Linked DNA regions of Lepisosteus oculatus. The protein of the gene in region 1 interacts with the protein of each later gene in a biochemical or structural test. Links are inferred from orthologs where the notes say so. Each region holds a gene or a part of one and is shown in the gene's direction. Other genes may lie near its edges. The genes, in order: ripk1l, cradd, OTU domain-containing protein 1 and tnfaip3.

Evidence for each region.
Region 2: the proteins of ripk1l (region 1) and cradd form a complex in vitro, tested with the Homo sapiens proteins (2 studies listed by BioGRID). The link is inferred for Lepisosteus oculatus from reciprocal best matches to the Homo sapiens genes RIPK1 and CRADD.
Region 3: of the proteins of ripk1l (region 1) and OTU domain-containing protein 1, one has a biochemical effect on the other in vitro, tested with the Homo sapiens proteins (2 studies listed by BioGRID). The link is inferred for Lepisosteus oculatus from reciprocal best matches to the Homo sapiens genes RIPK1 and OTUD1.
Region 4: of the proteins of ripk1l (region 1) and tnfaip3, one has a biochemical effect on the other in vitro, tested with the Homo sapiens proteins (2 studies listed by BioGRID). The link is inferred for Lepisosteus oculatus from reciprocal best matches to the Homo sapiens genes RIPK1 and TNFAIP3.

What each region holds. Positions count from the first base shown.
Region 1 is NC_090701.1:4,748,214-4,756,098, reverse strand, and holds the start of ripk1l (receptor-interacting serine/threonine-protein kinase 1), read left to right. Parts: upstream 1-4,872; 5' UTR 4,873-5,181; intron 5,182-5,688; exon of another isoform or gene 5,689-6,020; intron 6,021-7,258; 5' UTR 7,259-7,292; coding exon 7,293-7,444; intron 7,445-7,885. UniProt on the Homo sapiens protein: Serine-threonine kinase which is a key regulator of TNF-mediated apoptosis, necroptosis and inflammatory pathways.
Region 2 is NC_090702.1:40,870,733-40,878,398, forward strand, and holds the start of cradd (death domain-containing protein CRADD), read left to right. Parts: upstream 1-4,655; 5' UTR 4,656-5,199; coding exon 5,200-5,506; intron 5,507-7,666. UniProt on the Homo sapiens protein: Adapter protein that associates with PIDD1 and the caspase CASP2 to form the PIDDosome, a complex that activates CASP2 and triggers apoptosis.
Region 3 is NC_090701.1:54,988,283-54,995,664, reverse strand, and holds the start of OTU domain-containing protein 1, read left to right. Parts: upstream 1-4,370; coding exon 4,371-5,777; 3' UTR 5,778-7,382. Other genes in the region: c6h10orf67 (uncharacterized protein C10orf67 homolog, mitochondrial), read right to left, coding at 918-1,038, 2,134-2,379, 3,923-4,044. UniProt on the Homo sapiens protein: Deubiquitinating enzyme that specifically hydrolyzes 'Lys-63'-linked polyubiquitin to monoubiquitin.
Region 4 is NC_090712.1:1,532,778-1,540,009, reverse strand, and holds the start of tnfaip3 (tumor necrosis factor alpha-induced protein 3), read left to right. Parts: upstream 1-4,225; 5' UTR 4,226-4,307; intron 4,308-4,849; 5' UTR 4,850-6,062; exon of another isoform or gene 6,063-6,838; intron 6,839-7,232. UniProt on the Homo sapiens protein: Ubiquitin-editing enzyme that contains both ubiquitin ligase and deubiquitinase activities.

The sequences.
Region 1 (7,885 bases):
ATGCTGAATCACTGAGTTACAGGACCATCACTATTCATTCACGGCATGGATCAGACGTCTCCATACAGCCTGCATCAGTTCACCCCAGGTATCCCTTTAAAAAGCTCAGAGAAATCAGTGAGATGTTTGTGTACCTGCCACCCCTTTCTTGTATCTCAGACAAGTTTAGAATTAGCAAAGTCACTGAATCTGTGAAGGGAGAAGTGAGAATATTTCAGACGCATGACATAATTCCTGCACAGTCAACATGCGGAGCATTCAGATTTGAGTGGGCTATGGGGTCTTCTGAACTGTACACTCAACACAAGACGCAAAATTTAGAAAAAGACTACATGAATCAAAAGCTTTAGTGGGCATGATTCTATTTGTTATTGGACATAAAAAGGCGATATATTCTACTTATTCAAAACATAAATACCAATCTCAAGTTCCATGTAATTGTTTGATTACAAGACTCAATAAGAAAAAGCGTTTTGATCAGATTTTTGGGCCCCATTTAATTTCCAGGTATCTAAATTTTGCTCTTCACGGTTTCAGAAAAACCGCTGCGATAAATCACAAAGAGAACGACAACATAAACAGTGTGGTCTGGATTGACGCAATCGCCAGTCCGCAGCTCTTTGGCACCGAAGAAGGTCACGAAAAGTTAACAGGAAAACCCCAGAATGCTCCTTCATACGGCGCGGAGCGTGCTGAATCATGAACGGGACGAGATATAGGGGATTTTCGAGATGCTCTGCGCAGCGCTGTGGGCGTCCGACAGGAAATGGTAGGGAGGCGGGGGGGGCATGAGACTGCTGCAGCTGTACATTGAGGAAATGGTTCTGAGATGCAAAAAGGGGTTGGTGTGGCGGAGGATATGGAAGAATGAGGTGCCCCGCGCCGAGGAAAACAGACTTGTTTTCTAACGTGGGTGTCTCTGTGTGGAGGGTGGGGGTATCCCACTGCTAGTGAAAACAACAATGCAGGAGGGACGGTTACGACAGTCACGTTTGTTCAAAGTGGACAGGTGAAACTGGAGGCCTTCGTTAATTATATTCCGCGGCATAAGAGAGCAGTGGAAAAATCACGGCATCACCTGATATCACCTACCATTCTGCCTGGCCCTGGAAGACTTGCATAATTCTGCAGCTCACTGTCATGAACAACTCTGTGGAAGAAGAAATGGAAAACATTGGAAAGCAGTGCAAAGGCAGCAGGTGTGCCGAAAGCACGGCCGTTATTTATATTAATGGCCACACAGTGCATTTTGAAACTAAAGTTTTGAATGATGAAAAGACGTTAGATAAACAAGGTATTGCTGATGGTGACTTTTCATTTTTATTTTCATTAATGTTTTTAACTGTTTTCTAGAAAGGAAACAACGCCCTGATAAAGAAATGGCTGTAAACCTCAAAGGAGTGTAACAGTGGGGACAGAGATTAACTCATATTCTCACACCTGACTGCTGCATCTTCCGTTTCCAATCATTTTAACTCTCGAATTTCCTCTGAAAAGAACTGTGCAAACACGTTATATGTACTGTGTCAGTTATATGTATACTACATGCATCGAAGTTTCTTTATCATCCAGGTATTAAAATTGTTGCTGAACCCTGGAAAGCATAATCCTCTGGAAACAATCCTTCTGCGACTGGAGAACGTCTTCCTGGTGTATTGTAATACAAATATATTGCATCTATCATGTACAGTACCTCATGGTACCACAGCGTTTCATATAAAGAGCATTTGGAATACTATACACAGAAAATTTCAATTGCTCTGATGCAAATTAAACTGCTCTGATGGCATCACTACAACAGCTGTCAAAAAATAGTTAAAAACTAAACGACGACACCCCTACAGAAAAGTTTAGAACATAACAACTTAAGAAAAATTGCAAACAAGATGACATTTGCTCTTGTTGCAGGTTTGTTTTGGTTTTTTTTTGCGATCTAAGTGTCGCATAGCGTCTTTCAGGACACTATGCAGACAGCCCAACCCGGAAGGGAGCGAACAGACACGGGGAGGAGACGAGGAACAGGGCTGGTAGACTAACAGGGGGGCGTGGCGAAGGTGCTCGAGGGGGCGTGGTCCGGGTAAACAGCCCAAAGGGTGTTCGTAGGGAAAGTTGCACCAAACCCCCTTTTAAATAAGCAGAAATGTATAAATATGTTAGATTTTCTGTAGTATTTTTATATGCAGACCTTCATTTGTATTGTCAGAGAAATAAGCTTTGATGACATGTATGTAGAAATAATTATTTTCAGATCCAGTACGTCCACGTCTTTTTTGTGAACTTAAGAATCTTAGCCACAAGAGGGCGACAGTGCCAATAATTCGTTTGGAAGATGAAAAACAGGTATTCGGGTACACTATATTCTGAATACAGAATATAAAACTAGAATCATTAACAGGAACAATAAAACTGATTTAATAAGCAGCATCTAACGATTCTGCTCCATAAATAATCCATTCCTTAAAGACTTTTCTTGTAGGGGTACAGCCGCGTCACCCAGATCTGACGTGAATCACACTCCTAGAAAAAGCATGGCAGCCGTTGTGCGCCAGCAATCTTTCAATTAAGCAATATTTCAGTTCAGGTAGGTCTGATTGTGTAAGATGAAAGTCCTCATCCTCAGGACATTCTACTCTTACAGATCCAGGGAGTTTGAATGAACTTTTCAATAATAATAATCCCTTACACTTATATAATGCTTTTCTGGACACTCCACTCAAAATTCTTTACAGGTAACGGGGATGATGCGACGGCAGCCATAGTGCGCCAGTACGCTCCCCACACACCAGCTATCAGTGGGGAGGAGAATAGAGTGATGAAGCCAAATAATAATACTGATATGTAGTTAGTTGTAACAGGTAGTAAACATAGTTAGCCATGTGTTTTGTTTAATTTAGTTATAGTGTTTTTACGTGACATGCGTCATGTCATGCGTAGTAAGGCTGTTGTGCGTCATTCCTGTTCCGGTAAGGCGGGAGAAAGCAGTATGGCGTAAGACCCAACAGCCTTGCTTTGCTGCTGGTGTCTTGGCTGTATGAACGTCTGCCTATACCTCTTGCTGGACCTCGTCGTCTTCGTTAAAACCCACGTTTACAATGCTACGACCTGTAGCACTGTTCCCCCAATCAACAGGCTAAGGTGTCGCGTTTGGGTATTCTGGTCAAGGGTAACACCTGCTTGATCACCCTGGAGACTCCCCACACCAGTACTGAGCAGGATCAGTGTGCCTAGCTTTATCTGACCAGATCTGCTCAAAGCCAGCTAGAAGATAGTAACCAAATACACAATACAAATGTCAATAGAAGCAGTTCGTGGCATGATACATAACATTAAGTCTCAGTTAAAAAAAAATATTGCAATACGGTGTGTGATCCATAACTTTTCAGTTAGATACCTTAAAAAAAACAGATATTTCCTTCAGCTGTCTTCTTCAGCTAAACGTTCACCCATTTCTTGCTGTTATTTTGTATTTTAATCAGAATTTGTTTTGGAAAGAATGACAACTTCAGAAGTGTAGTTATCTGAATAGCGTTTGGAGCCGAATTCACTAGGTGGTGCTATAAATCAAACAAGTGTATTCCCTCCTCAAAATTCAAACTGCGTTTTACCAACGAAGATTCTTTTTTACTGCTTTGGCATTCCTCTTTGTAAGTGTACCTTTTCTTGAATAGTTATTTGTATAAGTCCCTCTTTGTAAAATTGTGCTTATTCTTGAAGTTTTTTGTATTAGTAAATCTTATTTTGTTCGTCAAAAGGTATTCGCTCAGCTTTTTGAATGGCAACTCTTAAAAGGCTACAAAAAGGTGATCATGTCCAAACAGATACTTTAATAATTAAAGTTTATTTCGTTAATTCTTCTCAGAGATGGAGTGTGTAAACAGTGGACTCTCCGCCCATCGAGGAAATGGAGTTGCCCATTTCTACTCAACTGATTTTTTTTTCTTGCTGTAATCTTATCAAACATTAAAGTACAAATTCTTCCTCAAACCCTCACTGTACCAGTCTATTATTGTTCGGGCTTTGTAGGACACTTTCGGCCGAACCCTGCGCGACAAAAACAAATCGGTGTTCCCCAGCTCCCTTCCTTACAAAGTCCTTCGTGGATGTCTTTTTTTTAAATCCACACAATCTTCCAAAATGTAATCTTGGTAAAAACATCAAGAGAATAATACAAGAAGATAAAACAGCATGTCGCACTATAACCATGACTACACAAGACAAAACAAAAATAACGGTGAATTCCAGACTGCTACAGTATACAGGTCTAATAAGAATATCTTAAACTCTAATATTTATACTGAATATTAGAATACTAATTTTCTAAATGCTATGAATATGAATACATGAGATGTTGTGAATATGAATACATAAATTAATCTGTATTGTTGACATAAGTTCGTGCTTTTTATATACAGTATATTTGAAAAAGACAGGTGTGGTGACGGCTGTTGGTTAGCCGTGGTCACGTACAGTACAGTGTGCGGCCGAGATGTTTTCTCCCAGAACAGAGACTCCACATTTTGGAGGGCTGTGCGCCAGCGAGCTCTGAAAAGCTTCAGAATCGCGATTCACTGCTTCCTTTTTGAAACCGTAGACATCGGTGAAGAGAAAACACTCTTTTTCACACCTTTTTACCGTCACACCACGGATCTTGGGTGGGAAAAAAGGGCGAGCCTGCAGTTCCATTCAGTTTTTCATCAAAATACAGCTCTCCCACCCTCCGCAGCAGGCGCAAGGAGAAGAAGCAAACCATCAATATTCTCAGACTGTTTATTGTTTATTCGCTGGGAATGCACCATTCAGTTAACAGTATACCCCTACTTTCTCAACATATCAGTTTATTATAATTATTAAAGTATATTAATATAAGCATATTAAACACCGTCTCGGGCAATCCAGGGAACTTGCGAAGGGCTATACATTTTTCCCAGCCCCTTTCTGAGGTCTCCGGGAAACGTCATTAGTTAAACTCAGACGGCTCATACAGTCTCGGCGCCGCAGTCTTCTCAGGAATTTTATTTGATCGATTTTCACGTCTCGCCTCCCGTTCCTGAGAGCTTGTTGTGACAGCGTGGACGTGGACTGCGCTCTGGTCCGCTCGACAAAGGAAGGGCGCCGCCCTGCGGCCGTGGGGTGGTCTGTCTCACACCTGGCTGCCAGCCCCGGACACATTGTAGCCAGGCGGTAGGTTTAGCGCCGTGTTTCGCAATGCTGACCGGTCCTTGACACAACCTTAAATAACTTTACCTATTAAATTGTATTCCTTCCAAAGCAGGATGGCCTTAAAACAGCTGGTTCTTGTTACAGAAAAAAAAAGGTTTGTGCTTTCAACCCCTCTCGATCTCAGACACGGAATTGGACCTTGCCTCCAGCTCCACCCACGCGTGTTTGCCGGGAGCGTGGAACCGTTTTGCACGACATCTTCACACACACACAGCCAATATCACATCTGCCTCCATAAGTTATTATTTATTTTCTTTTTGTGTTACTTTACATATTCTTGGTTACCTTTATATTATATACATGCATACCTGTATACTTCTACGCTTATATATCCTCTATTTTACCGGCACTCATGAGGTTTATTAGTGCTTTGTCGCTGTCGTTATTAGTATCAGTACTATTAAAAGGCTAAAAAATAGGTAAACCGACATCATATCCAAACAGATACTTTTAATTCGGTGATTATGCTGGGAGATGGAGTATAAACAGTGGACTCTCTGATCATCGCGGAAACAGAGCTGTATTTTCCTGCTGTAATCTTATCCATCTTTAAAGTACAGTTCTTCCTCAAACCCTCAGTTTGCCAGTCTATTGTTCGGGCTCTGTAGGACGCTTCAGTATTGCTGGGTCATGCAAAAGAGAGTGGAGATCGGTTGCTCGGTGTCGATTGTTAGTGTCTGAGGAATCGACACCAGTGGGTTTTCCCTCTTGCTCTTGGGTTTCGTTTTGTCTGATCCCAGACCCGAATATTGAACAGGAAGTCTGAAAAGGTGCTTTAAACGACGGGGGAATGCGTAAAAGTAAGTGAAACTCTCGTAAATGGTCTTTTTCCGATTAATCGTCCTCTGCAGAGTAAGAGTTTTTTTTTTTTGTAAAGAAAAATAGTTTTGCTTTTAACCCTTTTTGTATGATGTAGGAACTAAGGTATTCCGTTTCAAATAAAACGCTAATAATAATGATGTCTTTTTCCGGGGGATGTAGGAACGGTTTTGTCTCATCTGTAGGCTGGGCATTTTGTGAACTGGACGTGTCAACGATAGATGTATCGACTGGTTTGACAGTAGTATTGGTTTTGAATACCTGTCCGGTATTTAACGCTTTCTAAATATGCTAGTCTTTTTAAAGGTAAAATATACTTAATAATGCCGATATTATTATGTGAATATTCACAGCCTTTTCTATAGGTTGTAGGCACTTTTCTGCTTCGTCAAACTTTCCTGGTTTGTTCTCTGCGAATACGCAAAAAGTTTTTCCTCTTGCAAAGGAATATTAGAAATAGACAAAAGTTAAGAACAAATACTCGATTACAAATATCTCCCATACGTACGTATGTTTCGTTTCCAAACTGTATTTAACAAATTTAATGTTTTCTTAAATAGTGTGGTTTTACCATGGATAGCGCATAGTGCCCTTATTTTTGCAGTTGTACGTCATAGCAAAGGAGGGACATTTTAACAAGATTAACGACTTTTAGATTCTATTTCATAACTAATAAGATTAATTAAGACCTAAGGGGGAGGTTGTGTAACCCAGAAACGAAAAAACTGAACCCGATCACGCATACCAAAGTATGAAGAGCGCACCTCCCATTTTCAAAGGAGCAGTATGTCTTTCATTGAGACAATTCACACATGGCAAATTTGCAGACGTACATTCGCAACCTCCCAGGTATTCTTGCTCAGCCCATCTGATTTGCTGTAGCCAGTTGTGTGTTTGTCCTGGCTTGGCTGGCAGCTATATGGTATGTGGCAAGTCATCGATTTCAGCTGAAGCTAAACGTATTGGAAAGCTTGCATGAGCATGAAGAAAGAACTGTTCAGACGGTTCTTCCGAGTGCTCGGCGAAGCCTGGAGGGATCGAATTGGGAAGGTTACGTGGGTAGCATTGTGATTGCTGTGTGGTGACAGGAGGGCGCGAAGCACTTGGAATTGAGGGCAAAAGCAGACACGTGTACTGTAACTGCGTTGTGTACTAGGCTGTTGCACGTTACACCGTGTTACTGTCGTACTGAGGCCTCTGCCACGTTGTTTCTCCGCAGGCTGTCTGTAGAGCAGCTTCTGGAGAGCGGAGCCATGGCTCTGGAGTCCATCCGTATGAGCTCCACGGACCTCATCAAGAAGGAACCCCTGGACTATGGCGGCTTCGGCCAAGTCTTCCTGTGCTACCATCAGAGCCATGCTCTGGTGGTCTTGAAAACAGTTTACACCGGGCCACCACGCAATGAGTAAGTCAGACTCGGCAGTGTTTTAAAGGTGGCTGTTCAGGATCTGTTATTCTCTGTGGACCTCTTTCACTGGTGTTGGAGAAGCTGGCCAGGATGATGGACGAATCGGAATAGAACAACATCTTGTTTTCTTAGGATAACAAGATACCTTTAGCTTGCACTGAGGTGGACGCTTACATTTTTGGGGTTCAAAACTTTGAATGCCAAAATCTGAAATGCAGTTCCCCGTGTCAGTAGGGTGTCGTCTGTGTATTGTCAGCTGGGTGCAGGGCTTCAGTTTTGACCAATAAAAAAGCTTGCAGGCCCCACCTGGATAGCTATTGTAACAGTTAAAATGTGAAACCAATGGCTTTGCTCTGATTGAAATGGATTGAAACTGCACTCTAAGCAAGATTGCAAGATTTTGCAAAAGTAGATGGCAATTTTAAAAATAAACAGAAA
Region 2 (7,666 bases), on another chromosome or scaffold:
CAGTTATACTGTAGGAAATGTGGGGAAATAAACTATGTATAAAAAACAAAAGGTATTGTTCAAGCATTAAACTCATTCTGTAGCAGAAAGCTTTTAATACCCGGCAAGGGGAACTTTCACTGCAATTCATTAACCGCTTTATTAACTTATCCAGTACAGGGTCATGGGGGAGTCAGAGCCTATCCCAGCAAGCAACAAGCAGAAGAACAGTCCATTGCAGGGTACACACAGACAGAGACAGATGTACACTCGCATCAGGGAAAACATACAAAATTCACCCCAAGTCCAGAACTGAACCCAGGGCCCCAAAGCTGCAAGACAGTACTGCTAATTACTGCACCGTCATGCCTTACTGCACCCTACAAAAAGTTGGGAAACAGCAATATATTATTTCTGATCAGTGAGAAAAGAGCAAGTATATAAGCCTTGTAATGAATGTGTTTTACAAATGGATAGGTGGCCGTGAAGACTAAAAACAATTAACACCCGCTGTCTGCTGTCAGAGACTGCTGCTGCTGCTGAGGTGTGCACTGCTGTTGTGGACAGCGTAGGGTGTCGTCTTCTTATTGGTCAGATGGCGGCCAACTCAAGATGGCTGTAGTGGATACTATGTATAACTTGGACTGGCTGTTCAGCAGCACTGATATGTTTTCGACACTTTCACTGTAATTTTGTCTTTTGACTAATAATCACAGTCTCTTCACCTGTCTCAAGGTGACAGAGCTTCTGATCATATACAGGACACTGTTCCTTTCTAAACATCCATGACTGCCTTTCTAAACAGTGGAATGTAAAAGATTGGTACACAATTCCACAAAATAAAATATAATCTTAGAAAGAGCTCATAGAAGAACGGTATGAATGACAGCTTAAATGGAGCTAAGGTTCTCCAGTCTAGAGCAAAGGATTTTAATAAGAGATCTAATCTGCATGGCCTCCTGTTGTTGTCAACGCGTCTTTTGCTTTTATGTTCTTACCACTCTTGTACCCTTGGAATTTTGCAAAGTCTATATCCAACACAAGTGTCTCTGGTTGCAGGTTTGTTTATAATAATACTTAGAGCTGCAATGTTGTTCCTGTTTGATCACATTGTCACCACTATTCACCCAAGGGATGTGTGTGGGCTGTCTATGCTAATTTCCCAAAATGTCTGCATATATGGTCTCTATTCCTAAACTCTCTATGGTAAGCGACTTCAAAAGATTAGCTTTCTGCAAACCCCAACCATTATATTAAGAGGCTCTGATTACAAGAGTATTGTATTGATCTTTAAGGTGATTTGTTCTAAGTGAAATGCGGCACCAACCAAATCATTTTAGACTGATGAACAACATCAGCTGTGCTATACGTTTGCTCTGAAGGCTGCTAGATCCTTTTTCTTTCCAAGTCTTACTGAGAAAGGTCATGGTAAGCCCACATTCCTATTTGTAACCTCATTAAAATTTACAATTTAATATGTCTGGTTTTTACACACCGACTGAACAACGTAATACTTTAAAGCAATTTTTCACAATGAAATACACAATATTAATAATCAATGCTCTCACAGGTTTGGGCTTATCTCATTTTACTGTTTTTGCTTCTACTTATGTAGGTCTCATGTGACTGAGAAGGTATTGTATCTAAACTGAGACCTTCTACCTTGGGCCACTGTTCCTACAGTACATAGCTACTCAAATCTAGATTCTCTCCACTTTATCCATTGGTTACTAACCTCATCCTTAACCTTTAATCCTTCAAGTACAAGACCAGGTTTCAGGCTTCCTGCTATCAGACAGTAACTGTGTCGAAGAAAACTGGTCTGAAGCCAAAATTGCAAAAAATCTCATAGTCTTAAACAGGTGGTTGCAGCACAATTACAATTTTATCTTGTATTTAGTGAGTTGTTTGACCCTCTCCAGCTGCACTTTAGACAATGATACAGTACCGCAAACTGCCCTTGTTAAGATACTGTAGTTCAGGAGTTGCCGATGGATTCTCACTTTGGACCACTATTTTTCTGCTTCTGGAATTAAGTGTAGGTTTTGATGTTATCAATCATTCCATTTCATTGTATGGAAAATGATTTAGGGATTATTTATACTCCCCTTCATGGGTTTGGCTCCAAGAGTCAATTCATAAACCTTTGCTGTTCTAAATCTGTTAATGTCCATGTTATTCTGGATGATCCAAACATTTCCATCTCTAATCTGTTCCTGTTTATTTTACATAGGTTATGTCTTGGCTAGATTATTCATCATCATGAACTAGGGTTTCACTATAATACTCATGATAGTCAAATTTATTTTCCTCCTAAATTAGATGCTACTACTCCAGTTTCTGTATTTTATACTCGTCTGTCGGATATTAAGTTACGCAACTTTCTTAAGCTAAACTATTGTGTTTAACACACAATACAACTTTCTTAAACTAAACAGTGATTTGGACATTTCTAACAATACATTATGTTTATTGTTATGTTTATAATTTTGTATTTATGTTTATATGTCATGTTTATTTACCATTCATGGTCTCCTTATAATCCCCATCTATGCATTTGCTTCATCACTCTGTTCTCCTCCCCACTGATAGCTGGTGTGTGGTGAGTGTACTGGCACACTATGGCTGCCGTCGCATCATCCAGGTGTGGGCTGCACACTGGTGGTGGTGGAGGGGAGTCCCTATTACCTGTAAAGCTCTTTGAGTGGAGTATCAAGAAAAGTGCTATATAAGTGTAAGCAATTATTATTTAGGAATAATAATTATTTTATTATTGACTCTGAAGAACAAAAACAACCACAGTTGTACACAATCCTAAAATTAAATCCTTCATTGAACTTTTGTTTTATTTTTGACCCTATGTTGTCATTTGAAGCTCATGTTATAAACATCTCAAGAAAAACTCAGTTTGCATACATTGCCTGGTTAATGTCTTTGCTCTATCTGAAACTGGAATTTTACAAAACCTTATTCCATCAAGATGAGAAAACAGTATTGTGATTCTTACTGGAGTATTAACTAAGATACTAAATAAGTTTTAGTACATCCAGAGCTCATTGGTTTAAGTGCTAAATAAAACTAGTCTGCCTGAGCTACACAGCTGTTCACTTCCTTTGAAATTTAGAATGGATTTCAAGGTTATCCATATTATGCATATGACACTTAGCAGTCTAACTCCAGGTTATTTAAAGTACAGTATATGTTGCCTGAGAATATTTCAGTTCTTAATCTGAGATCTTCTAATTCAGGTGTCTTTTTTACATAAGACCAGTAAACATAATGTGTGAGAGAGCCTGCACATGTGCACTACCATAATTGTGAAACTTATTGCCCAGATCCATTACAGAGTCTGCAACTGTGAACTGTTTTAAATCTAATTTAAATACCTATTTTTCTATTTTATCTTTTAGGATATAATTTTATTGGATCTATTTACTGTAATGTTGTACTATCTTGCAAGGTTGATACATGTATTATTGTACAGTGCTTTATGTATTGTAACAAAAACATATTAAAAAATATTGTTTAGGTTGTCGACACATTGCATGGAAATGACTTGATTGGTCTGTATTTGTAGGTGCTTGTGTAAAATGATTGTTATACTTGTCAGATTCACCAAGATGCTTTTATTTCCCCCTGAATTAGTAAATGTTTCCCTGTAATGGGATTTTTTCAGGCTACTTTTCTAAAACTACCAAATCTGACTTCAAGGCACAGAGGGAATTAAAGCATTCTTTACCAAAATATCAGAATGACTGTTTTCCACTGTAAGACTTCAATAAATCACTGGAGGCCTTTCAGGAAAACAACTCTCAAGTTTCTAACTTGCAAATCCAGATCTGTAACAAGTTCTTTAAAGGTTGGCAAATCTACTAAGCCAGATCATATTACATACTGTACCCTCCCACCAGGTTACTCAACAATGTATCTCATATGCCTTTGATATCTGTCTTTCCCACAGGTAAGATAAAAGTGAGACATGATTAAATGTGACATCAGCTTTTTTACATTTACAGACATATACTGTAAGGTAATGCGGTTTCTGGGTGTAAGAGATGCATCAATGCATAGACTATTTTATCAGACAAAATCAAAAAGGAAAATACAAAAGGTGATACAGGTGTGTGCCTAATACCTATTATATTGAGCCCACTCTGATACGCTCCCACCAGCTTCTCGTCCCGTCACCGAGCTACTCAGAAGCCTATAAATAAACGGGCTTCGGTAATACAATTAAAGAGTGGAAATTTATAGCAGTGATTGTGGTCCCATCAGAGACCTCGTCATGTGTTTCCCGCCTGATCTGTCAAACTCTGTAAAAGCTCAAGGCTGCCGCAGAACAAAACCCAAACTTTCTTTAAAGCAGCAACGCACGAAATATTTTTAAAAACAAAGACTTGTAAGAACAAGTACACAAAGTAATTAACCCACGCAGTTGAACAAGAAAGAATACACTGGACATTTTAAAGACGGAACAATAAGCTTGCTACTGTAACCTGCAAATGATGCATATTTTCTACTCATGTTATATCAATCACACATTATGATCTGATACTATTTGCACACGAAAATGCAGTTTGACAAATCAGAACAGCTCGAAATTTCCTAAGTGTAGAGAAGCTACTATCACCGAAGGTCATAATAATGCTTACTCAAAAGCTAAACGAATACGTTCGAAAAAGTGTACAACAGGTTGCCCTTATTTTTAAATTAGTTTTAGAAATGTAATATACTGTATAGCTCTTTGTGGCTTAAGAAGTGGTCTCTACTGAAACATGTTTTCAAATATTTTTAAAAAATGAGTACAGAAATCTCACCGATCAGTGTAAGTTTCAGTAGGGAGGAATTTAACTGTTACGCTAGGGTTTTTGTATACAAAAGTTGAGAGTATTGTGGTGTAAGGAGAACAAACGCACTGTCATTCATTTTTACCTAAGGATAATTAGGCAATCTCAGAATTTAATATCGTCACGTGTTTTTCATAATTCATAATAAAAGCATACCGTTTGTGCTTTCTTTACCTGGAAGTTTGTTTTGAGGATGTAATCAAGTATTGTAGTTGGCGTGCTTGGAAGAAACTGGCACTGTAGGCGCTTACTGATAACTAAAAAATAAACTTCCAGTTTTTATTTGAAAACGGCGGTAGACAGAAAATTAGCGCCGCCTAAAAACATCGATATACTCCTGAAATAGTGACTTGTTTTCGGATAAACGTCTTGAATGGATCGCAGGCATAAACAATTTCTTCGAGAGCACAGATTGGAGCTTTCTAATCAGCTCGTATTAATTGACACCACCATAGTTCAATACTTGTATCAAGAAAATATTTTAACAGAAAGCCATGTGGAGGAAATAAGATCCCGGATAACAAACAAACAGAAAACACTCGCATTGCTGGAGATTCTCCCCACCAGAGGACCAAGGGCGTTTGAAACATTTCTGGAGTCTCTGAAGGAAGAGTTTCCGTGGGTGAGAGAGAAATTGCTCCAGGATTTAGAGAATGCGACTAGTGAAGTAAATTCAACAGGTAAGACTAGTGCCATGATTTAAACTCCACATTAACGCGTATGTGAAGTCTTCTTAGTTATATGTGTGGTAAACAGACCGACGTACAAGCAAAAGCAAAATACTCGATCAATAGTGGGCGGATGTGTTTCGTTGCAGAGCAGTAGTCCAACGGTGCAACTTTTGTAGCTGTCTTACATCACCACCTTCTTAAATCATTACCCTTTATTTAATCAACGTTGCAAAAAAGATTCCGTTAATCTGTTCAGAGGTCAGTTGAAATGAATACGTTCCAAGGCCATAAAAAAGCATCGCCGATGTATACCAAATATATTTCAAAGCTGTCAAAACCAGTTTTCTTCGATATGATTGTTTCATTTTTGTTTTCATATTTATATTTTGTCTTTAATTTGTTTTATCATTTTAAATGTCCTTTTTTCCCTCTTTGCTTTCGTTCCTGGTACAAAACCACATTCCTTTTAAATGACGGAACTGAACATCCGTCGATTCTCTCGCTGAGATGATCTGCACTTTTGCACATTGTCGTGCGGCAGGTTTTGGCGATGCAACTCGGTTCCTTCTGTAGGGATGTCTTAACAAAATTGCGGATTTAACTGAACTCGGTTGATGCTAACGTATTCTTAGACATTTTAAAAATCCAGAGTTCAAGGTTATGATTACCGCAATTACTACAACAAGATGTATTGCTCATTGTCTTTGTACAATAACCCAATATCTTAATTAAATTAGGACATTTTTTAGTAAACACTGGGGAACTTAAATTCCTTGTGTACTATTTTAAATACCCCTTTTATGCGTATAGTTTACAAAATTGACAGGTTTTTATTTAAGTTAATACATATTTCCTAATTATACAGGACTCGTGACACCGTAGGCAATTAACTTTCTGATCATATTGAATTTATTCAGGAACTTAAAAAGTTTAACAAGGAGTTTTATCTAACGTCTGACTGCTTTTAGTAGAGCTGTGTGTAGATGTATCATTAATATATTTTGTTGTTGAATTGGAACAGTGATCTAGAGTGGTGGTGTCCTTGATAGTTCCTCGACAGGGGAACGCTTTTGTTTGTGTCCTGTCAGTGGTGATTCATGCCATTTCCAGTAAACAAGTTTCGGTGCCAACCATGGAACGGGCTGCTCTTCAGCAGTGGTTTTGTTTGTTTGGCCATAACCTAAATGGCACTGTCCCATTGATCGAAAAGGACTGAGAAAAACGTAAACAGCTGGCTCCCACTACCGCTGGCAACAGCCATTACGTTTTAAGGGAGGAAGTGGAGCTTGGGGTTGTGTGACCGAAAGGATTCAGGGTCTTGCGCGCACAGATTTTTGTATAAATTAGGTCAGAGTTCTGGAAGAAAAAAGTAGGGCAGTCACAATCCTTTGAGTGCTGTCCTTGTTAAACAAAGAACTGCAGTATACATTGACCAGGTGTTGGCAGCATGATCTCGCTTACCCCTGACCCCTGTAACACCCTTTTTATAAAGGGAATACTTCTATAAATAACAAATGGTATTTAAAAAAAAATAACAAGTAAATTAATGGGGGCTCAGAGAACGGCCCCCTAAAAGAAGATTGAATAAGTGGGTGCTTTAGCTTAAATTTGGATCCCTTCATGACATGCATGTCCAAGAAGCAGAGAAATGTACGTATACTTTATTACACTTCCAAAGTAGTGTACTATCTTTAAAAATAACTTTTTTAGTTCGACTATTCTTTTCCGGTTCATGTTTTCGGTCCGTTCTTAGAGACAAAAGATATTCTATCTTAATGATCTCGCATTTTTTGCATGTCAGATTTTGTGATCATACTTAAATGTAGGCGTGTCGTTATCATTGAGTGTATTTAAAACAAAACGCACTATGCCTGGTTGGACACCATGATGCCAAAATTTCTCGTCTGAATGTAGTTCGTGTCACTATTCCCTAAGCAGCAGCATATGATGAGCAGGGCACTGCCAGGTTTAGGGTTGGGTGAATTCTTGAAGTGCTTTCTCGCATTTCCGGCAAACAGGGATTCTTGGGTCTTGCCCCTGACTAAGAGATGCACCACAGTCCACAGATCACTACTACTCTACTTGATAGAATTAGTGTGACTCTCCTGTCAGGCACTATAGGATTGTACTGTCAACACAGGGGCTGACAGGTGACTCTGCAGGTGGGTG
Region 3 (7,382 bases), about 50 Mb from region 1:
TTTGTCATGCTACTCGTTTTAAAGCACTGCTCAATAATTATGGAAGCACTTTCTTTTACTGAAGCAGGCAATGGCAGTGTCAGTAGTCATTGTTTTGTTGCATCACCAGTACAGACAAGTGAGCCAGTTACACTGCTGGTGTTAAGTGGTGTTGGCAGACCAACAGGTGACACTGTCTCAAGAAACTTTAGGATTAAACACATGATTGCAAATTCAAGGAAAGTCAATTTACCAGTTTCAGACACATAAATAAAACAAAACTTTAACTACACAACTATAATTGACTGCATGAGTCAGTACTCTGAAGAAAATTAAAAATCGCGTAGGCAGGGGCAGAAGAAAACTTAATTCTGAATGTTAATTTTCTCTGCTTGAAAGAAAAAGAGTAGTTATTGTTTTGATGCATCATCAATACAGAGAAGTCAGCCAGTTCCAGAAGCAGCCACGCTGACTTCAATGGCAGTGGAACAGACTACTTCCTTGATCAAGTGACAAATCTGCAGCACCAGTCGTCACAAACAACAAAACCTCAAATTATTATTTTAAGGAAACAAATACGCTATTAACAAACACCATTAGCAACCCAGACACATTGGTGAACCTTTAAATATACTTTTTAAAGTGCACATGACTTTAAATTGCACATGGTGTGGTCTTTCCACAACCTTTGAAGATTGATAACAATATCCTGTTTAATGGACTAAGGGGCACTAGTCATGTAGTAATAATACACGACATTGAAAGATTTTGTTTTAGGATGTGAACTAAATTAGACTGTTTGAAGTACGCCTCATCCATTTCCCCTAACCACATTCTTACATGTCCTTGCAAACATTTTGCTTGCTAGACTACAAGAAAATGTCTTAATAATCATTACTTTACCCTTTTGGTCTCAGCAGTGACGAGCACAGTTTTACCTCGAGTAAAGTACAGGTGACTTCTGACAGCTCCTTCACTCTTGGCAGTTCAATGACATCGGTCTGTGTGGAGGCGTCTCTTCCAAAGTAACCGTATCTCAGTTGATTTCCCAATGAGTACCTTTAAACGCGTGTTGTTAATGAAAAAATAAATACATTAATGTGACAGTTAACACATCTTACAATGTTTGGTGTTTGGAGTAGTGGTCAGGGGAGGGTCAGTGGTCCAGCTCGTAACTGGAAGGTTGACATCCCATTTGACACACTGGTGTTGGACCGAGATATTTCACCTGAGACTCTCCAGCAGAATATCCAGTTATAATAATTATTATAATAATAATAATAATTTCTTACACTTATATAGCGCTTTTCTGGACACTCAAAGCGCTTTACAGGTAATGGGGATCCCCTCCACCACCACCAGTGTGCAGCTCCACCTGGATGATGCGACGGCAGCCATAGTGCGCCAGAACGCTCCCCACACACCAGCTCTCAGTGGGGAGGAGAGCAGAGTGATGAAGTCAATTCATAGATGGGGATTATTAGGAGGCCATGATTAGTAAGGGCCAATGGGAAACTTGCCAGGACACCGGGGTAACGCCCCTACTCTTTTCGAGAAACACCCTGGAATTTTTAAAGACCACAGAGAGTCAGGACCTCGGTTTTACGTCTCATCCGAACGATGGTGCCTGTTTACAGTATAGTGTCCCCATCACTGGGGCATTAGGACCCACATGGACCACAGGGTGAGCACCCCCTGCTGGCCCCACTAACACCTCTTCCAGCAGCAGCCTTAGTTTTTCCCAGGAGGTCTCCCATCCAGGTACTGACCAGGCTCACACCTGCTGAGCTTCAGTGGGCTGCCAGGTGTAAGTTGCAGGGTGATATCTACAACTATCCTACAAAGTTAAAGCCTACACGTTATAAACCTGATGCGATATGTAACCTATCACAGCTATGATACTTGTAGTGCATGGAACAAAAAAATAATCATTTGTATTGCATGTAGGTTTAATATTATTTAAAATATTCTGTTATTAATGTAAAAACCAAATAAAAAATAATCTGAACTGAACCCGAAGGCACAACATCACTTTGCGAGGCGGTAGGGGGGGGTTGTTTTTATTTTAACCCGACTGCCGGCAGAAATAGCGCGGACAACAGAAAAAAAAAGACTGAAACCCATCAAAACCCATTCAGTACCAAAGATTTATACCTCTCGATATCCCGAAGTTCTGAGGAATACAGTCTCTCCTCCTGCTCCTCGGAGTTTCCCTGCACAAGCACGTCCATGTTACCGGCGTGATCGACACGGGGGCGCCGCTTGCGTCGGTTTCCATAGCGACGGATCTCGCCCGCTCGGCGGTCAAGACCCGGATAGAGTTGAAGGAAGCGATGGGCACGGACAGTTTGCCTTATTTCCTTCAGGATTATTATCGGTATAAACACAAGTTTCAAGCTGCTGTTTGTAAAAAAAAACCCCACACCGTCATGTAGTCAGATCAGATCGCTGTACGCTGACCATTTACGTTTGTGCAAAGCCGGTGGTGTTAAGGGAGGAAAGGCGCAGTGTGCTCTTTGACACACTTTCTCATTCGGGCTCCCATTTGGGACTGAAACGGAAAAACCTCTGAGAATAAATGCTTATTTGAAATGCATTAAGGAATAAGGAATACAAATGAACGCGTAAAAAGTTATATAAAAAATAATAAAAACCGTAACATCACTATACTGTACTTGATAGGGATCCCTATGAATAAAAGGGATTTCAGAAATGGGGCAGTCTAGTCAAAAGTGCTAGAAGGTTGTTTGAATAATTCAGTAATAATGAAGCATTTACAATAGGGAATAAAAACCCATCCTTCACAATACAAATGGTATAATATACTCTATTGTTCAGCAGAACTGTGGTGACAGTTTTAAAATGTTTTCTACTTCTGCGCTGCTTCCTTTGTCTAACGAACTCCTGTGAATTTAGAGCATTTTCATAATTAAAATGATAACAACGATTCGACTGACAAAGTGGGTGAAGTTGCTGGCGTTGTTACCTCACAGCCCAGGGCTGCCTGGGGTGCAGTTTGTGGGGAGTCTGTATGTTCTGCCTGTGTGGGTTTTCGCCGGGCGCTCCGTTTTCCTCCCACACTCATGGGGGAACTCGACCCTGCTGTGGGTGTGTGTGTATCTGTGTTTGTGTGTGTGTGCCCTGCAATCGGCTGGCCCAGGCACTGGCGTCACGCCCAGGGTGTTTTATCGCCTTGCGCCCTTTGCTTGCTGAGATCCTAAATTGGATGGAAACGTTAGCAAATTGATGGGTGGACTTAACGAGGTCTTCCCAAAATCCAGCGTGACACCAGTCTTTATTTTGCAAATGCAAAATGAAGCATACTGACTGCAGATGGGCAAGGCATACAGTACCATCCAGCCGACAAGCGCAAGGCTATGGTTTTCGGAAAGTGTTTTACATCACTTGGTACATTCGAAACAAAAAAAAAAGGAAAACTGTCAACATAAAGAACTGCAAAGGGCTGTGTTATAAGGCAATACAGGACCGCACTGTAGTCCTTAGTTTGATCATGACGTGAGCAGATGCTGAATGTCTTCCCTCTGAGACACCCATGAGAAATAATGCGTCACATCCCGTCGCCCATCATCTTCTATAGACGTGTGGATGCACATGCCGTTCAGAGCGAAGATGGCCCATCGGTGACGGCAGTGTCTTTTAAAGCGCGGCTTTAGCCAAAAGGTTGTGGAAACACTACGCGCATTACTATGGCCATGCTCACTACTTCACAAGGGGGGAACGCCCACCCCCGTCAGCGTGGGATATTTTGCCAAAAGGCTGGTGTCAGTCTCTGCGCGCTTCCCCTCCGTGAAGCCCGCAAGCCGGCGTAAATAAAAATAAAAAATAAAAGCCAATAAGATCGCGGTAGAGGCGGAACTTCCTGATTTCCTCCCCCCCCAACACCACCTCCCTTGAGGTCAGCGCAGTGTGTTTAGTAACTTACGCGTAATGGTTTTCCGTCAGTGCTGGCGAGGGTCTGGCATTCCAGCGCACTGACGCCACAGGCTTTAGGGGGGTAAACAGAGCTCCAGCCGAGCGCAGTCCCCAAAGTGTCCCGTGACACATCAAATAGTTCCCATTCCAGCTGCACAGTCAGCAGCCGGGGCAGGCGCCCGGGGGGACTCTGTTATAAGAGGATATGAAGAGAGCCGGGGTCCGGTTACATTGTTCCGGGCTATAATTAGCGGAGCTCAGCGCTGACGCAAGATGGCTAAAGTTGGATCTTCTGTGTGTGACAGCGGGAATTAGGATCAGGAGCGCCGCAGGAATAACTTCACGGCCCGGACTGCGATGAGTGATGACACTGGCTATTTTTGAGCGGCGGGATCATCGCGTGTGGCTACCTGGGACCTCGGCGTTTCATATATAAAGGGTGCGCGGTTGGGAAAAAAATGCAGCTCTACAGCAGCGCGTTGACACATTACCCCGGGTCGTCCTGCAAAGTTTCGATTCCCATTGCAAATATTGACGGTAACGCGCCAGCGACTGCGACTGCAAACACCGTTGCCGCGAGTAACGCTGATTATCAAATTCCTGCACACGGAGTGGAGGAGACGGGGGCTACGACTGCGCCTGCCGCGAAGATGCCTGCCTTTTCCTGTTATGAACCAGTTCCCAGCTCGGCGAGCAAGCCGAGCTACTACACTTCCACCGCTCAGATCCTGGTTACCAAGCCCGGTGGGGTGGAGAGGTTCGTGCCAGTCCAGATTATGAAGGACTCCCGACGTGGCGCAGTAGACCTCTCCGGAACATACTTCGCTAGTCCGGCAAGCTCGCCGGTTCTGGACGCGAAGGGCTCCTGCTCGCCCAGCGCCCTGTGGCTGGGGGACTTAATCGACACGATGAACGGCGAACTGGGCGCGCTGGACGAATACCAGAAGGTCCTGGAGCACAACATGATCAGCTTCGACAGGAAAGCGGACGGAAAGCGTTTCACGAAGGGCAGCGCCCTGAGTGGTCTGGACCACGAGTGGCACCAGAGCGCCTGCTCTCCGGGCGAGGGTCCCCACGACGCCGAGGCGCCCGACACGCTTTTGAACGACAGGGTGTCAAACGCCTGCGAGGATTTGGCGTCTCCAGAAGCTCGGCTTGTTGGCCGGCGTTGCCAGGAGAGCACGGAGCCCGCTGGCACAGACCTTGCCGGGGAAGCGCCAGGCGACAGCCTCCTTCAGCCCTCCGCCCCCGGCGTGGGGGGCAGCCGAGGTGAGAAGAACGAGCAGGTGGCACACTATCTCGCCGAGGTGGAGAAGCAGAACAAGTATCTCCAGGAGAGGGAAAAGTACAGGTTCCACGTCATACCCGACGGGAACTGCCTGTACAGGGCTGTGAGCAAAGCAGTGTACGGCAACCAGTCGGCGCACAAAGAGCTGCGGGAGCAGACGATGCACCACATCGCGGATCACCTGGACGAGTTCTGCCCCATCATCGAAGGCGACGTGGGCGAGTTCTTGATCAACGCCGCCCAGGACGGCGCCTGGGCTGGGTATCCGGAGCTGCTCGCCATGGGCCAGATGCTGAACATCAACATCCACCTCACTACCGGGGGCAGCGTGGAGAGCCCCACCGTGTCCACCATGGTCCACTACCTGGGCGACGAGGACCCCTCTAGGCCGAGCATCTGGCTAAGCTGGCTCAGCAACGGACACTACGACGCCTTATTTGACCGGCCCCTACCCAACCCGGAGTACGAGAGCTGGAGCAGGCAGGCGCAGGTCCAGAGGAAACGGGACGAAGAACTGGCCAAGTCTATGGCGGCGTCTCTGTCCAAAATGTACATCGAGCAGAATGGATCTACGTGACCTGCTCTTAGGGTTCCGAGATGGCGTACCGTACAATTGTGCGTTCTGTCCGAAACCGAAATGTATGTTTCTGAAATAGGGCACCTTAATCACAGTTTGATGGCACTTTAAAACGCATGCAACATGCCGTACAGAAATTGCCTTAATTTATTTTTTTCTAAACCGAATGTTTTTAATGCATTCACGTGGAGCTACTGAAGGTTGCGGTGCACCTGCGTGTTGTATAGATTTTTTTATCATTATTTTTGTATGGAAGTGCTGAATTTATATCCACAGGTCGGATTCCTTACGTTGTGCGTAGAGGTCGCAAAGAAAGAAGTTTACATTACTGTGTTACTAGTACCAGTCCAACTAGAGATAAAGCACAGGACTGAAGTTTGGGAAGAGAAAGAACAGTTTTTTGACAACTTATTTTTCAGGTGTGCGAAATTATATATGTGTACATTTATAAACTTTATACACTTAACCGCTGATTGGTAATTGCGTAATGAGTCTATTTAATTGCCTTTTTGTGTTTTGCTGGGTCGAACACTTGTTTTGCTGCAAGATCATTCTATTCCAGGCTGTTTGCTTGTCTTGAAAGCGCGGTATTTTGTATCGAAGATCTGAATCTTATTTTTTTAAATACTATTTTTTTTCTAAGTAGATTGCTGGATCGGAGACGTACCATTGTAAGACTGAAAGTTTTGTTTCGTGGTTGCATTATCATTTTGAAGTAAAGGTTTAATTTTTCTGGACGATTTAAGGTGTTTCGTTTTTACTATTTGTGCTGTTCATTTTGGGAGGATCGGTTTGTGATGTATTATTTTTAATGATAATAATGGCGGTAGGAGCACTTTCGACACCACCAACGTGAAAGCTGACAGGAATAATGCCAAGGTCATTACAATGTTGTGAAATATTACGAATGAGGTAAAACCAACTATTCCCACACAAGAGAAAATTCCAAATCTTCCACTTACTGATAAATGTCGGTATTGCCAAATATCAGGCTGTGTGGACAAAGCCTACTGTTTTCCAGACGTTGACTTTTATCAGTACTATGTTTTAGTTTTAAAATAGTTATGCATTGCATTTATCAATGAGTGATTATATTGCACCCTGACCTGAATATTGTAACGCAACGGGGGCTCAGGCGGGCGCCCTTGCCGCATCTGGTCGGCCCAAAGTATAGGTGGCTCGAACCCGGGACTTCCGCGTCTCTCTGCAGCGACCCAGCCCCGTGAGCTAAAGAGAGATCTCTCCACAGCCCAGTCGCTGTAGTCCTGCTATCACAGGGAAGGGCGGTGACGTCACCCGCTCTGGTACGCCGGCTCTTACACACAGTGCTTGTCGGCCGTAAGCATTACAATATGAAATCTAAGAACAACCAGCACAAGTTGGTTACCTGTTTTTCTTCTTGCTTTTTTGGTATCATAAAATGAAATTATAATAATAATAACAATAGTTGCTTACACTTATATAGCGCTTTTCTGGACACTCCACTCAAAGCGCTTTACAGGTAATGGGGATCCCCTCCACCACCACCAATGTGCAGCATCCACCTTATTGGAGCCCCCCCTAATTTAACTTCACTTCTATGTTGTGTAGGAGAGAAGGAATGTT
Region 4 (7,232 bases), on another chromosome or scaffold:
ATCACCACCAATGTGCAGCCCCACCTGGATGATGCGACGGCAGCCATAGTGCGCCAGTACTCTCACCACACATCAGCTCTCAGTGGGGAGGAGAGCAGAGTAATGAAGCCAGTTCAGAGATGGGAATTATTAGGAGGCCATGATTGGTAAGGGATAATGGGAACTTTGGCCAGGACACCAGGGTTACACCCCTACTCTTTTCGAGAAACACCCCAGGATTTTTAATGACCACAGAGAGTCAGGACCTCGGTTTTATGTCTCATCCGAAGGACGGTGCCTGTTTACAGTATAGTGTCCCCGTCACTATACTGGGGCATGAGGACCCACATGGACCGCAGGGTGAGCACCCCCTGCTGGCCCCACTAACACCTCTTCCAGCACCAACCTTAGTTTTCCCCAGGAGGTCTCCCATCCAGGTACTAACCAGGCTCACACCAGCTGAGCTTCAGTGGGGTGCCAGCTGGGAGTTGCAGGGTGATATGGCTGCTGGTTTGTCCTGGATCTCTCATGGATAGTGTTCAGCTTGAATTATTTAGAGAATGAATTAGCGGGAAGGGAAATCCCTGACATTCAAATACGGTGCAAGAAAGGGAGCAATCAGCACTGCAGAGAGCCCCCAAGGAAATGGTTTCTCTATTCAGAAGCAGTAAAAGCAGGACGGTGATGCAATGATAAGGGGAACAGAAGAAACCACAGAGAAAGAGGAAATAGAGTTGATAGTACCTTCTAATAGCTGCGTCTAAGTGTGATTGCATACTACATCTCACAATGGCTTAAGATAGCATCACCACATCCCTTTAGATATGCCTTAGATAACAGCATAGGTGCATAAACGAGTTCAGTGTCTCACCTTGAGAAACCCAGGAATAACGTACGTTTTTATTCACATAATTTACTTTTCCTCCCTGTCATTAATGTTTTCTGTCTTCTTTCACTTCCTTTAAAAACTCAAACTCCACTCTACCTGTGAATCAGAATGCCGGGGACAGTTGTGTCAAAGTCCCTGCCATTCAGTGTACGAGGCTGAATTGCAGGCAGGCAGGCAGCTGCAGGAAATCCCCAGAACAGCGCTTTGCAATGCCTGAGGTGCTGAGGCTTCTCTGGAGTAGGTGCTGTGCTTTTTGTGCCATTGGGTTCTGGTTTGTTTGAAGAAATGAAGAAAGTCAGTTTGTGGGCCCTACTTCTGCTGCTCTTTCAACAGTAAAATACTCTTACAGCACCCATTCTGTTGAAAGGCACACTAATGTCACTGACAAGTACACTGACCTCTACTGACTGAAGAAATCTTCAGCACATGGGTATCGTGCACTCATACTGCATATTTACTGCATACCCTAACACCTGAAGAAGGCACCACAGCCGAAACGTTGTGTTTTCTTTCTTCTTTTTTTCCAGCATGGAATAAACCTATTACTTGTTCCTTTGCAGCCTACGCATGCTGACGCAGCTCCCCACCTGAACTACTACTGCATATAGTGGCTATTGTATTGGTGGGTAAGTGACTACTATAGGCAAATACTACAGGAGCAACAACTGACATGCAAAAAGATGACATTCAAGACTGGTCAGACACCTGGCACAAGACATTTAACACAGAGAAGTATAGGGTATTAAAAGCAGGAAGCAGAAACATAAACTACAAACATAAAGTGAGAAATACTGAGCTGAAGGGGCTTCTTATGACAAAGACTGAGGTATTTATGTTGACACATAATTTGCATCTTCTCTTGACAATGTGGGGAAGCTGTAGAAACAGCAAGCAAAACACTAGGATACGTTCAAGTGTTAAAAGTGGAGAATTTAAATCAAAGACTGTTTGGTTGAGTCTGGAGCTGCAATCCAGTCTGTAATCAGTCCATTGAAGAGCAACACCAGATACATTCAAGGGCATTCAAGGAAGCTGAACATTTTTGGCATTGAAAGAAGACTGCAGATTCCAGACCTCATCTGCAAGGTTGAGAGATGTGTGCAGACAAGGCCATATGTGGAGTTACAAGATCTTATGACAAGCATTGTGAATTTTATATCTTAGACATATTTGTTTTTTGTAGACACAAAAATCTTTACAACCCTTTTAAATGTCAATTTTATTCATTAATCATTCATGAACCATGATTATGTTGTAGCCCCTGAGGTGGATATTCAGTCAATGTTTATCTATAAAATATGCAAGATAAAGATGTCAAACAAGACAAATGTTTTTCAATTTGATGGAATTTTTCCTATCTGATGAAAATGCCTATGCATATTATAAGCAAAAACAAAAATACATTTTATAAGGGAGATACAGGGACAGCACACAATTGTAATTTAACATTATTTCCTTTTTGTTGACTTTCATGACAAAGACTGAACTATTCGCTTAGTGTTGCTCAGAGGAATAAATAGTTCAAAGCCCAGAATCTTCATTTCCTGTCACCACCTTGCTTTGTCTAACTTTAAAATGAAAATGGAACAATACTGATGCGATAGCAACGTGACAAGGGAAGTTTCAGTCAGCCTGTACCTTTGAAGTCCCTGCCCTAACTTCTCACCACAATTCCTTCCACCTTTCACAATGTTTTGTAAGCAGGTATGCAACACTTTCCACTCACAAAGCCAGTCAAATAGATGCACTACAGATGTACTGTTTGCAGCCAGATATTAATTTATTTCCAGAATCCAGGGAAACTAACACCTCCTGTGTGGTAGCTGAGGTCTGGAGTCACTGTAATTGGCTGATGTAAGTGTGGATCTGGCTTTGATTATAAGATAGGTTACAAAGGAGAAGAGCCCATTTAGATTGCTTGGACACTTTGCAGAAGTGGGAGTATACAAAACTTTCTTGATGTTACACAGCCATTGGTCTAGGGGAGAAGAACATTATTCAGTACATTAGTCATCATTCAGAAATCCGTCTGTTTTTTTTTATCCCGCGTTTCCGATGACTTCCTGACCCTGTCCCAGCAGCGCAGCAGGAGTCGGCTCAGGGCAACGGCATGCCTCCCTGCGCACACTGCGTGTGGGGGTGTGTCCAAGCATCCAGGCCCACCCAGGGTGTTGGGAGAGCCCACGCCCCCCACACCCAGTGAATCATTGCTGAACTCCCGTTGGACAGCTGTGAGCAACCCTTGATTACGAAGTTGTTGTGGGAAATTGTTCATCAAAGGAGCAGGATGTTCATCAAAGGAGCAGGACGCAGTCCAGTGCAGATTCAGTTTTTTAGAGCTCAATAATGTCGAAGAAAACTCAGTCTTCACTCAGGTTAGGAGATTGTCAAACACAGATCTTTAATACAATCAGCTGAAGGGGAGCATATCACAGAGAAAGGGTTCCCCCTAGCACTCAAGACATGCTCACTTTACTGAAGTTATACTTTCCTTTTTATACATTAAAAGTAGGCAAGACTTTAACATATCAAAGGAACATACAGGGAAAGGGGCAGTGTCAGAAGTCAAACAACCAGGACAGGAAGATGGCATTTGGCATCCTGCAGTCTGTTTCACTTCTCTCTGGTTGAATGGGTGTGAGGAATCACAGGCTTTAGTTTGCACCTAAGACAGTGGTCTTAGGTGCGAACAGAAAACCTTTCCCACGCATAGTCACTGTCTTGACTTTCTGACTCGGTCTTCCACAATAAGGACAGCAACACAATCGTTGGGTCTGCAGTGCAAAACAGACCTGTCCTTTAATAAATAGTTTATGTTGAACTACTTTGTCCTGTCCTTTGATATCCAGCAGGCATTGATCTGCTTTATCCTGTTTATGGTACGTTTATGGCTGTTGGTCCTGCATTTTGTTATGCTTTGTTATGCAGCGCAAGTTGCTCAAGCAAGCCAGCTTTATTGTATCTTAGCATAACCTTTGGTGAAGGCTAAATTAACAGATCCCAGCAATACTTTCCATGGTGTGGTTAAGTAGTAATACTGCAATGGTGGATACATGTACGTGCAATATTAACATGTCCCACTTTACATTGATTTGTGATGTTGAGCCTGAGGCAGCACAGCTCCTGTTCCTCTGCAGGGACACCAATAAACACCCGAAGGGACTGAGTTCAGGCTTCATTGTTGCCTGGCTACGGTCTTGGGATGAAACACGTTGTAAGAGCACCGCCCCAGCAGGGACCACATTCCGCAGACCCCTCTGGGGAAGGGGCTGCTCGCACAGTCACCTGACCAGCCGCAGGAAGGCAGGTGACTACAAAACAGGAACAGGAAGCTCTCGGAGGCTGTCTGTGGGCGTGGCTGTCTGCTGCTCCAGGACAGCCCCTGCGCGTACTGTACGTCTCGCCAGCGGAAGGACCGAGCAGGGAGCAGAGCGACTTTGTGAGTTCAGGGAAACGAAACCGAATTTTGTGGATTTTTGGAAATTTTGTGTAGAGTGTTGGAGGGACCGTGTTTGAGAATTTTCTGTGTTAGTGGCCGGTCAGCAGTGTAGCTGCTCGGCTTATATTAGACGGGGGCTTCATGAAGAATTTTAAGCAGAAGCTCGATGAAGAGCTGAGACTGTTTTGCTTTTGTTTTTAGGTGATGGTGTTAGGCGTTTCCCCGCCTCGTAAAATAAATTGCAACTCGGGCCTTTAAACGTTACAGCTGGGTGTTTTTGTGTGTTTTGTTGGCCTGAACCTGCCTGTGTTGAAAGATCGCGTTTTAAACAGTCACACCCCTGGTTATGTCACATTGCAACAGAAAGAAACTGCCACACAGCTCCTACAGAGACACTTTACCTCGGCGAACAGGTTGCTGATTTTTTCTCTCTCGGAATAGAATTTGTTTTAAAATTAAAATGATCATTTCATGGAAAAAAAAAAGTTGTTTTGTTGTTTTGTTGTGTAAGCTTCTGCCTGACTGAAATCTTCTTTTTATAGAAACTTTCCACAAATCAAGAACAAAGCAGAATTCTCCCCCTGGCAGTCCCTTAAATCATGGCATTATTTCTGCCAGAAAAACACAACCCCAAACCCACAGGAGAAAGGGAAAGTACTTTTAAAACTGAGGAAAGAATGCCGTTCTTTACACTAAGGGTGGTGAGGGTCTGGAACAAGATGTCTATTAGCTCTTTTGTTGAATCTTGATGTCCTGGCTTCTGTAAAAAAATGGTGGATTGAGATTCTCAGATCATTAAATCAATTAGATCAATTCAGATCAATTAGATACTAAAGAACTAGACATGCCTTATGGCCTATTCTCATTGTTTTCTTATGTTCAAGTCTAGCTATTAGAATGCAAACCCAAAAGGGAGATAAGGATTCTCTCTGTGTTACACAATATCCTGTGTGAGGTGTGAAAGTGGCTGGAGATGAGTTCATCAACACTCACAGCAGGCACAAGGGCCTCTGTCCACAAGGTGCTTTTCCTCTGATCATCACTCCTCGGAGATCAAGTGACCATCTGCTAGGAGGAGCTCAGTGAGCCCTCCAGGCATTGAAGAAGACTGAAGCTGAACCCGAAAGAGAGAACAGGGGGCCTGGCTGTTTTCAAAAACTGGAGGAAGTTCACTGGCACTTTATTGACTTCAAGCTTCTCCTTCAGATGGGGGCTGTGGAGTAACACTCATCCCCCGCAGAGTCTGAAAGACCCTGACACATTTCATCTTCAGTCTGGGACGTCCCTTTCTGTACAGATCATAAAATAATTTCCCTCAGCCTAACTCCTGAAAGCACCACACTGCAGAAGCGCATGCTCGCCACTCTGGTGCAGCAAGACAGAAATACAACTCCAGATCTCCCCAAAAACGCAGTGTGTTTTTTTTCTGGTATTTACGCCAGAGTGTGGAGGCCTACTGGATTTTTTTTTTTAAAGCTCGGGTATTTACAAGGATGTCTGAATCCGCCTGGCAGAATCCTGGTGACTAGCCAGCCAGTAGGAGTCGCGTCTGGGAGGAGACAGATTGAGTGATGTCCTGAGGGCTTGTGGGTTCTGCCTTCTGATGCCCTCCCCCGCTTCTAAAGGAGCAGAACAAGTTGCTGATACTGATCTAATAGTACAGTATGCGTGTGTGATCAGCTGTCTTTTTCGTTACCTTTCACTGCTGCCAAATTCGTACACGCTCACCCGAAGTAAAAGTGAAATATACAGTTTGTACGTATTACCCTTCTGAATATACAAATGTTGCTTGACTTCTGTTTTAAGGAAGACCGTTGGATGGATAGGAACACTTTTGCCGGGAAAATGTCATTTTGTTTTTGTGCTTTACAAAGCAAGCGGTCTTTTAATGCCTAGAATATCAGGGTGCTAAAATATTTGACTTTTTTATAAAACATCAAACTTTCAAAGGGAAAAGACACCATTAGTGGGGTTTTTTCCTTTACAGATACATTACGCATGCAGTTTATACTATTAAGAATAATGTGTTTTTCTTTACCGCTGGGCGATACTTTAGGTCATAACATTCCCTTAAAAATGAGCAGGGACTTCAAGATCTGAGATCATGCGTTGGTCTATGAATGGTCTGATCGTGTCCTTATGTAAGGTTTCTTTATGACAACAGACCAGCTTTCCAGAGTGTCTGTCTCTTTCTCCCCCTAGCGTTCGATGAGCGTATTTTAGTACCTCTAAAATTGTGCAAGCTTAAGTGGAAAGTCCCTCATACTGGAAATCCCCACCCGGGCTTTTCCATGTGAAAAAAAAAAGTCTCTAACTTATCTAGAGGTCGTTTTTTTTTCTTGTTTAGTTGACAAGTCTCTAGCCTGAGTGAGTGGAGCCTGAACCAAGAAGCAATCATACTACCCAAGGGATATGAAGGTTTAATGGCGTTTGGGACTGTGGGTTATACAGTCTAGAGCTTGGGGTTCAGGGTTACCTTTTTGTACAGTACAGCATCGAGGAGTTTTGTCTGTCCTAGATACATTGTAAAGGTAAGTTTTGGTAGCTTTTAAAATATTCTGTTCCAGTTCATTCGTTCGTTGCCGTTGAAACTGCGCTCTTGGTCGCGGTTACTTGTGTTAATGGTGTTAAGTGTTGTCAGTCCGGCACAGTTCTTATCCATATATGTGAATGTTTGTCTGATTTTTTTAAACGCACCGGAGCGATAACGCCAGTTCTGTTCACAAACTTCAGTCTGCAGTTAAACCCCAGACACGAGTGCGTTTTATGAAAGACGTGGTCTGTGAACCGGGCTGTAAGGGAAGATTGCTACAATTGCATTTTTATATATAACCCTTATAGGATCATGTAGATCAGTGCGTTTCCACGCGTGCACATCGTGCGGCACACTTTCTGGTGCCTGCTGTCACTAGTTCAGAACCGATT